Canis lupus familiaris: one gene and its partner. Each later gene encodes a partner of the first gene's protein in a complex. Links are inferred from orthologs where the notes say so. Each region holds a gene or a part of one and is shown on either strand. Other genes may lie near its edges.

The links. The genes of interacting proteins can lie anywhere in the genome.
Region 2: the proteins of TFDP1 (region 1) and E2F1 are in contact, whole or in part, in a crystal structure (PDB 2AZE), measured with the Homo sapiens proteins. The link is inferred for Canis lupus familiaris from reciprocal best matches to the Homo sapiens genes TFDP1 and E2F1. Residues at the interface, in NP_009042.1 of Homo sapiens: Glu201, Cys202, Leu205, Glu206, Glu208, Arg209, Arg212, Leu213, Arg215, Ile216, Lys219, Gln220, Gln222, Leu223, Leu226, Ile227, Gln229, Gln230, Phe233, Lys234, Leu236, Val237, Arg239, Asn240, Arg241, Glu244, Pro251, Ser255, Val256, Ile257; in NP_005216.1 of Homo sapiens: Arg202, Leu203, Leu206, Thr207, Asp209, Leu210, Leu213, Gln214, Ser216, Glu217, Leu220, Asp221, Leu223, Met224, Ile226, Cys227, Thr228, Gln230, Leu231, Leu234, Asp239, Ser240, Gln241, Arg242, Leu243, Ala244, Tyr245, Val246, Thr247, Cys248.

What each region holds. Positions count from the first base shown.
Region 1 is NC_049243.1:61,025,007-61,030,016, reverse strand, and holds the start of TFDP1 (transcription factor Dp-1), read right to left. Parts: upstream 3,377-5,010; 5' UTR 3,295-3,376; coding exon 3,268-3,294; intron 1-3,267. UniProt on the Homo sapiens protein: Can stimulate E2F-dependent transcription.
Region 2 is NC_049245.1:23,405,192-23,409,903, forward strand, and holds the start of E2F1 (transcription factor E2F1), read right to left. Parts: upstream 3,333-4,712; 5' UTR 3,318-3,332; coding exon 3,057-3,317; intron 1-3,056. UniProt on the Homo sapiens protein: Transcription activator that binds DNA cooperatively with DP proteins through the E2 recognition site, 5'-TTTC[CG]CGC-3' found in the promoter region of a number of genes whose products are involved in cell cycle regulation or in DNA replication.

The sequences.
Region 1 (5,010 bases):
CCAGGGGCCACAGCTTGAGGCTCCAGGGGCCATGGCTTGAGGCCAGAGCCTGTGTCCTATGAGGAGCCTGAGGTTTGCAGCTTCCAGAAGCACATCTCCCAAGCACACATGTGGCAGTGATGAGCCTGGAGTACACACAAGCACAGCTCACCTGAACCTGGCATGGGAGAACCCCCACCTCAGGCCCCGCGGCATCCCAGGGGTGGGTTTACGGTCTCTACTGGATGCACAGTGAACAAACTAAATGCATCATCCACACAAGAAACCAAGAGTATATATCCCAACTCACTGACTCCACCTGAGATGGAAGTCAGGCCTACACATGTGAGGGACTACCTGCACAGCCTTGGAGCCCAGCAAAGCTTCCTGGACTCTCCAAAACCCCAACTTCCCAAAGAAACCAAGGGACCAAGTGTGTGTGCCCAGGAGGACAATGGCAGATTGAGGCCTGGCTGGGTTAGAAGATCACTGGCCAGGAAGTGGGTGAGGAAGACTTTCCACTTGCCGATGGAGCCCAAAACAGACTGGTCCCAGCAAACAGGCTCCAAGTGCCCCAGAGCCACAAGACACCAAGTACCTTGAAGCGAGGACCTAGCTATAGCAGGAGAGTGACTCAGTGCCCCCACAATGACAGCAGCACCTGTCAGACAGCCCCAGACACCCCCCTCCCCGGCACATCACCGGCGCTGCCAGCTCCTCCTTCCCACAGCCCCAAGGGCTCCTCAATCCCATAGATGTGGCCCTGAAGGCCCTGTCCACAATCCTTCACACCAGAGCAGATGCATGAGTGGACGCTGGACAAAGACCCGATGAGAACAGGGCCTGACTGCCCTCACGAGTCTACCCCGGTAGGACTGGTGGGACCCAGCATCTGCCCTGATCTGGTGCCACTGCACGTGCCGCTCTGGCGCTCACTGGCCGTTCACTGGAATGCCAAGAATGCTGCCACCCCTGTCCCATAGAGATGGCGCTCATGGTTGGCACAGCAGTGGCACAACCCTAGCAACCCTCACAACCCAAAGCAAGAACCAAGCTGGGAAGCCCCAAGTCCCCCTGGGGAACACCCAGTCTGACTCGAGCTATAGGTCAGAGCAGCCCGTCCTCCCTGGAACAGAAGGGCTTCATCTTCCCCCACCACGGGCTGCCTGCAGTAGCACCCAATGGGCGGCCTGGGCGAGAAGAGACCAGCACAACCTTTTCTGGAAAAGTCTGGGAATGGATGAAGAGGCCAGTCCCTACCAGTCTCAATGTCAGGACCCAGAGCTGAGGAGCCACTGGAGAACCAACGGACAAGACATAAAGGAAGGCAGCTGCAGAGCCCAGAGGATGAAGGAGCCACACAAGCACTGGACAAGAGACAGGTCCCCCACAAGTATCAGGTCTGCTCCGTGATACCAGGAAAACCCTCACATGAACCCTGAGTGCTCATGCTCGGTCAGATTCCTGTCTCTTGTACTCCCAAAGAGCTCGTGTAAAAGGGGGGCTGGGAATTTTAATATGGGCGGTGCACCCACCACCTGTGCAGCAGGCCGGGCCCAGCCTCACTCTGTCCCGTGAGAGCCCAGTGATGGGCAGTGGCCAGGCACAAAGCGGCTGCAACATCCAGAGCATACTGTCCCAGCAGCACGAGTCCAGATCTCAGGCTGGGAAGACCCTGTCTGACGCAGTTTGCCCTTCACTGTTAGACCAGCAGCACACAGGCCACCACCACCAGACGCTGGCAGCCCCCCAGGTGCGACAACGCCTGGAGGCTATAGGTGCCATTTCTGGAAATGCACTGCCTCTGATGGGATCATCTGCCCAGAGCTGCCAGGTCAGGAAAGACACACCTGTCTTATTCCCAAGCCTGGTTTTCAGTTCGGAGCCTAAGAACCACAGGACAACAAATCTGACCTAGAAAGAAGCTAAGCAGCTGGCAACCAGCTCCTGTGGACGCCTACACTGTCCACACTCAGGACGGTGACCAGTTTACCCCACAGCAAGTCTTCCAGACACAGAAATGATCTGTTTGGAGACAGAACATGCGTCAGAATCACAAGAGGTGCGAGCTTGTTTTTCACTAACAAAATGAGAAAAACAAAAACACTACTTTTAATGCTCTTGTTCACGGGTGATGTGGAGAACAGCTTGTACCCCAAGCCTGGGGGATGGTGACCAACATATGAGACAGAACTGGGAAACCACGGGCCCCAGGCACTCTGCTGGGGCTGGGGCGTCAGGCTCCAGGAAATCGCCACACCATCAGGCAGACCTGTCCTCGCCTGGGGGCGAGGTGGGAACAGAGATGGCGAGATGGTATGCTGTGTCCCACTGTGGGTCACCAGGAGAGGTGACAAGGCCCGTGGGTACAGCTGCCGTGGAGGCCAGTGCTTTGGGTACACACTTTCTGGTGGCTGCAGAGCCGGGCAGTGTCTCCACTGCAACCCAGCCACTCCCAAATTCTGACCCACAGAAACCCTGCAGGAGAATAAACATTTACTATTATTTTAACCACTGAGCTTTGGGGTCCTTTGTTTCACAGCAATGACGACAGTGGTCAATCGTTTTGCTACAGAACCTAAGGGAAAAAAAATGCTTCTTTTCATCAACTGGGAAGTCATTCAATATATTTCTGAAACAAACTTTAACAGTAGCACACAGATTTGGCACAAATTTCCTGGTGTAAGACCACTCATTGCCAATTATCAAAGACAAACAGCCATGACCAAAGTAACGTATCTAGGTTTCCTGACCTCAGACAACAGCACCTGATGAGTGCGTCCACAAGGAGCGATGGCCTGGGAGTAAGCGAGCCCTGTGGTGCCCGGCTGGCAGGATCACCGCTGACTACTCAGGCAGCAGAGGCCTGGCAGCTGCGATACCAAGCAGGACACTCCTGAGGCCAACTGGCTTCCCTGTACGGATGACCTACACTGGCTCCAGTGCTGGTTCATCCTGCCCAACTGCCCACACTCACAGCACAACACAGTTTCCACACGAAGCCCAGGCCCCACCCAGCTCGCATCCCCCAATTCCGCTCTCTGTGGAGAGACACACTTGAGTGCAGCAGGCTGTGCAGGTCTACTTCATCTGGAGGTGCACAGCCCACGAGGGCTGCACCCCTCCCGTGCGCAGCAGGTACAGTGGCCCACGACAGCAGCAGAAGCGTGAGGACAGAGTCTTTATACTCAAAATGCAAACCTACCCTCCAGTAAGAAAAACACCAAAATGCTAAATTTGTGTTAACACATAAACCAAAAGCAGAAGCACTCGTGTGCCACAACTAACCGTTTTTCTTACAAACATGGCATTCATCCTTTCATGTTTGTGCTACATGAAAACAAAACCAGCTGCTATGTTCTCATGTGGGCAACGAGGATCCCGCTCCCACAGAAAGTCACCAAGCCGCCTGGAGAGCTGAGCCAACTGCAAGGGCAGACAGAAAGGGGATTAAGACCACTTTAGATGATTCACAGAACGAGCCAGAAGTCACCAGGCTCCAGGCTTCAGAAAGTCCACCCATGTCCCTCCAAGCGCCCTCTACCCCCCACAAGGCGCGAGGGCCACAGCAAGGCCCTGCCTCATCCTGCCGCCCACCCTGGATCTTCCTCCCCCTCCACCCACCCCATCATCGCCCCCTACCCCCATCCTCTCCCTGAAACACACCCCATGAGACAGACTCCCTCTGGGCGCCCGCATGACAAGCAGGACAGAGCCCCAGAACTCAGGGCCCGTTGGAGATGAAGCCTGTGACAGGGCAGCAGGGCGCAGCTCCCGGTGGGAGGGGAGGCCAGGGCTGCCTCACTGCCCCCCTCCATGGGCAGGCCCCATGCTTCCCACCACCTCTGCACACTTTCTACTTCCAAACAGGTTACCTACCACGGAATACAAGTCCCCACGGGGGAACAGAAGCCCCTTAAGGCAGGACAGAGGCCTGGGCAGACAACCCCCATGGCAAGTCCAGATCGAAGCGGTCCCCCAGCCCGGCACGGAGGCTGGGAAGGGCTGAGTGGTGGCACCCAAGCAGCCACTGTTAAGTCTCAAACAAATGGCAAGACGCTCCAACAGAACTTCACCTCCTAGAAGAGGCAGTAGGCTAGTCATTCAAAGACAGAAGCATGAAAGCACCCAAACGGGGCCAATGAACGGATGGAGAGTCAATGAGGACATGGAAACGTGGAAAAGCCAGCAGAGAAAGAGAAACCTACACACAGATCTCCTCAGGGACAGTCACACAAAACGTGGGGCACCTGAAGGAAGCTACAAGGGCCTTGAGAGAGGGACCACCCTCCTCTACTGACCTTGCCCCCAGCCCCCAGTGATACTCCTTACAGGGGCCCCTTTGCACACGCAGCGGTGGCCAGCACCCAACCACAGTATCAGAAGCACGTCTGGGCCGAGGGGGCATGGAGTGCTGCTGGGAGTGCCGGCAGGAGGCAGACACAGTGCTACCAGCAGTGATGGGTGTGGAAGAGGGCAGTGGAGTCCTTCCACAGAGGCCAACAGAGACACCAACTCCCAGGAATCACAGCACCCACGGGGCCACACAGGAGACTCCCTGGCTCCCTGATGGATACACGCCACAGCCACGGGGCAGAAACCTCAACACTGCAAATCATACCACAGAATGCCAAACGCTGCTCAACACCTCCCGTTTCAGGGGGGACCTGCAGTGGGACCTGGCCCTCACTCCACCCCATGGGTCCCATGTAGACCCTCCCTCAAATGCAGAGCCACAGGACAGGGCCTCCAGCACCAAGGACAGGGCAAGTCCAGTGGACACAGCGGACACAGCCTGCGGGCACCCTGCAGGCTCCCAGGGTGGGAGGTAAGGGGGAACCACCTAATCCCCTCTCCATGAGTGAGGCCTGACCTAGTGATGGGATCTGCAAAGGCCAGGTCAGGTTTCAGGAGCTGGGTCTTGCTGGCTCGTCTCTCTCTCCCTGTGTGTCTGTGGATCTCACTCCAACCCTCCCCTCTCTCTCCCCTGCTGCTCCCTTGCTCTGGCAACACAAGCTACCCCGCAGCAGG
Region 2 (4,712 bases), on another chromosome or scaffold:
AGAGGCCTGACAATGAGAGATAGGGCCAGGATGTGAGCCCTAATGGGCTGACCCAGAGCCCATATTCCTACCTACTACGTGTCCTGCTTCCCTGCAGCTTCGTCCAGAGACCAGCCCCCAAAAGCCATGTGTGTCTCCTCTCCGGCCTTACCCCTTAGGCCTGAACCTAGCATCCTCCTGCCAATTGCACCCCTCATCTCCCTGCTCCTCAGGCCCATGCCCACCGTGATGACAGGTCAATGCCACACCCTAAAGCAAGGGCTCAAGCAGGTCTCCATTTCAGCCACCACACTCTAGAGCTTGGCACAGGAACCTAAAAAGGCAGAGGTGAAGACACACAGAACATTGTGGTGAAAAAATGTGGACATCTCCAACATCTATGGAAGGGGAGCCACAAAAAGTGTGGCTCATCCAGTCCCTGGAATACCACGTAGCTGTCAAGGACTAATGAAGGGTGACACAGAATCCTCTTAAAGACATAATGACAAGAAAAATATCATCAGAGGGCAATGCATTTATATGATCCCTTTTTGGATTAAAAACATGAAACATTTTTCTCTGGTTCAGTGTCTAATATTCTAGAATCCATTCTAGGGGTAACCTCTGTATGGTATGTGGGTGGAGGACAACCATGGGGGGACTGTTACTATATCTATAAAATGGGGATGATCTACTGTTTGAACATAGAAACAAAGGAAAAACTACAATTTTTAAAATTTAAGGGGAAAAAAAAGCTGTCACAACCATCTTTTTTAAAAAAAAACAGGCTTAGGAAAAGAAAACAGGAGGAAAAATGAATGGTGTTGGCATCCTTCAACTTTTTAGCCTCTTAACTTTTTCTATAGTAAATGTTTTAATTTGCTTTTTAACAGCTATGACAACAGGATAGAGGTGGACAGGAAGTGCCAGGAGGAATGGCTGAGTTGTAGAGTCTTGCATGCTAGAGGTGCTCAATGAATGCTCACTGATGCAGAAGCTGAACCCGTAGCTTGTTTCAAAGACTGCCTCACACAAATGTCAGTGCAGAGGGTCAGAGGAGGCCACAGCTCAATCGGCCAGTGGCTGACCAGAGGTACAAGAGTGGAGAGTCTTGGAGGGGGTGTTTCTGGACTTCAGCTCTGGGGTGGTGCCAGCCCTCACCCCCACCCACCGGCAGAAAATGGATACTAGTGCTTCAAAGCTGTGAGGGCAGAGGCTCCTTCTTTGCCCATTGTCTAGTACCTTTTGGGCAGTTCACTAACTCAACAGTAGAATGGATGGAATGCTCAGGCCCACAAGGCTGCCCCTGACACTGCTGGGGGTGGGGTGGGTACATTTCCTCAGCCCAGTCTCTGGCAGCCCTCTGGGCCTGGAGCTCAGCTTCTACAGCCCCAGGTCGGCTAAGTACTTGTCAGTCAGCTAAATGCAGTTTTCAGGTCCAAGCCCCAGGCTGGCACCTGCAGAGAAAAAAGGCCCCTGGGATAGAGGTGACCCACCCTTAGTACAATCCTCCTCCCTTTACCCATCAGAAGGGTTCCTAACTTCCTTCAACCTGTATTATTAACATTTCTAGGAGGCAAGGCATCCCAGTGGCTAACTAGTTAACAGCTCAGGAAGTCTGGACTGGTCCCACCATTCCACTAGCTGAATGACCTATCATCTCTAGGTCTCAGCTTCCCTATCTGTAAAAGGGGATGGTTGTTGAGAGAGTTAACTGGGTGAAGTGCTTGGCACACAGCCTGACATATAAAACAGTCTCAAAACAATGGTGGCTCCTATTGTTATTATTATTAGCGTCTTGGTGATTCCGGAAGGAAGGCAGAGCTAGGCTGGGCGAGGGGCCAAGGGAGTTAGGGGAGACTTGCCGGGATGCCTCAGGGACCAGCTGCCACCCAGGCCCCCATAAGCAGTTGGATAGCTTCCACCTCCTTGCCCGGGCTCTGCTTCACCCCTCCTACTTGCTCCAGGCCCCCTGCTGAGACCCCCTCCTGCCTGGCTGGCCTGGCCCCTGCCCCCTGCCAGCAGCCTTCCATGCCCCACCTTCACCCACAGGCCCTGACAGTCAAGCTGGTCTCCACGCCCAGTCCTGCAGCTCACAGGTCCAAGCTCCAGGCCTCTAGGCCCTGCTCTCCAGTAATTAAGCAATCTTTTCTGGGGCCCCCAGTCCAAATTGCTCCTGAGCCTCTTGCTGCTCAGGGAGCACTTTATCAAGGCATCTCCCTGGAATATTTACTCTCTCCTGGCACTGGGGGCCTCCACTCCAGCTCCCAGAGGCCCAGCCCACCCATTACTTCCCTGGGGGCCTAGGGGTCTGCCTGCCTGATTAATGAGGCTCCATGGCAACCAGGGCCTGTGAGGGTGGAGGGTGGCAGATGGAAGGACAGGCAGAGGGAGGGGATCAGCAGCTGGCCCAGCCACCCCGCCCCTGCAGAGAAGGCCTCCCAGCCAGGAGGCCTGTCCCCAGAGGCCCAGAGGCCCAGGCCTGCACCTGGCAGTGGAGCATCTAGGCAGGAAGGAGGGTCTCCTCAATGACTCTTTCAGCAGTCTGGCCCCAGGATAGCCCCCTCGACCTCCTCAAGGGGCCCTGTCCACTACCCTGCCACGAGTTCTGGTCTGGAGCCAGCAGGCCTCAGTTCAAATCCCAGCCCCACCACTTGCAGCCGTATGACCGGGGGCAAGTCACTTCCCCTCTCCGGGCCTCCGTTCAGATGGGCACAGTGACAACACTGAGCTCACAGCATGGTTGTGAGTTCTGGCTCGAAGTTCGCCAGAGACCTGGCATGCAGGCAACACCAGCTGAATACACGTGGGCTATTATTACCACTGAGTCTGACCCTCGAGCGGCTCGGGGAAAGCCGAGGCCCAGAGCAGAGGAGCAAACAGCGACTGGCCCGAGGTCACCCCGCATCCCGGGGCGGGGCCCGGAGGCCCAACCCAGGCTCGACCCCGCCCAGCCCGGGAGCCTCGGCCCACCCCCTCCCCCCGCCCCCGTTGCCTCCGGGCCAAAAACCGCGCCCCGACCGGGTCTGCACGGGGGTCCAGACGTGCACTCGGCCCTGTGTCCCTGGTGTCCGTACCGGCGGGCGGCCGAGCGCAGGGCGCGGCGCGCTGGGTGTGGGCCGGGGCGCCTGCGGCGTGGCGAAGAGCAGCAGGTCGGGGTCGCGGGGGCCAGCGGCCGGCGCGGCCGGGCCGGCGGGGGCCGGCGGGGCGCTGGCGTCCTGCGCCGTGGAGATGATGACGATCTGCGAGGAGTCGAGCAGCCGCAGCGCGCCGGCCCCGAGCAGGGCCTCCAGCGCCGGCGCGCATGGGCCGCCTGCGGGGGCCCCGGCCACGGCCATGGCGCTCACGGCCCGCGCGGCCCGGGTGGCAGGCGGCGGCGGCGGCGCGGGCCCATGGCGGCAGGCCGCGGCGAGGGCTCGATCCCGCTCCGCCCCCGGCCGCCGCTGCCTGCAAAGTCCCGGCCACTTTTACGCGCCAAATCCTTTTTGCCGCGAAAGAGCCACGAGCCGCCGAGCGCTCTGACCATTGGCTGTCGGGCCCGTGACGTAGGCGACGGCGACGGGGTCCATTGGCTGCAGCGTGCCGGACCGGCGGCGGTGGGCGGGACGGGGCGTCGGCGCGAGGAGGCGCGGCCAATCGCGGGGCCGGGCGCGCGCAGGCTTTGTCGGGGCGGTGCCAGGAGCTCTCGCACTCCCCGCCCCCAGCCGGGACTGTCCCTACCCCGGGCGTGGTGGCGCGGCTCGCACCCCGACGCCCCGCGGACTCCGGGTCCCGGCATGTGGAGCCCTTTGGGTCAGTGTCCGTTCTGCGCTTCACACCGTATTCGGACCTCCCGTGACCCCCTAGACTCCGCCACCTGTAGCCCCAACAACCTTAGTCTGAATCACTTAGAAACTGCCCTTCCTTTTTTCTATGGTCAGGCCTGTCTCCAAAGCCCCAGCTGCCGCTCCCATCCTCAACTTGCCCCATCTATACCATTTACTTTCAAATCCTGCACCTGCCCTGTCCCTCTCACCCGGAGCCCCAGCAGAAGCGGGCTGTTAGAAAATGAGGAGGGACATCTGGCCCAATACAGCTTGGGGCTTTCCTGTAAGCCCCCTTTTAGCTGGAATCTCTTCAATAGCCGATGCACAGCTTCTGCTTGAACTCATTTATTCACCCATTTATTCAACAAACGTTTTTGAGAGCCTGCTCTGTGCCCCATTCTTAGTTCAGACCTTGAAGAGCTCGGTCTTGTGAAAAGAGAAGGAGAGGAATAGAAGTAACGAATGCTTGGAATATGAGGAGGAATTTCCACCATTAACTCCACGTTAGAGTTCACAAAGGGAGGAGGTAAGGGTGCTGAGCATGAAAATGCAGTTAATCCGGAGGCCCTGGGACCTCTCCATCAGCCATTTCTCATTGCTCAGGTCAGCTGATTTGACCAATATTGTCCTCTCCTCTGTGCCAGGCCTTGTGCCAGCTTTGAGGGCAGAGACGTGAGACTTGATCATTTCTATGAACTTGCCTGCCATCTGGTGGAGATGACCCACGGGGGGGGGGGGGGAGCTAATACACAAACAAGGATCAAATCCCTAAGCCCAGAATATACATGACTTCCTCCAGAGAGCCTCCAGAGTCCTAATTACTCACTTCCTCCATTGCCCAGTGCTGCCTCTGTCCCAACACTGACCACACACTCAGTTTCTCCATCTGCCTCTCCTACTAGACTGGGAGCTCCAACAGGGCCTCCT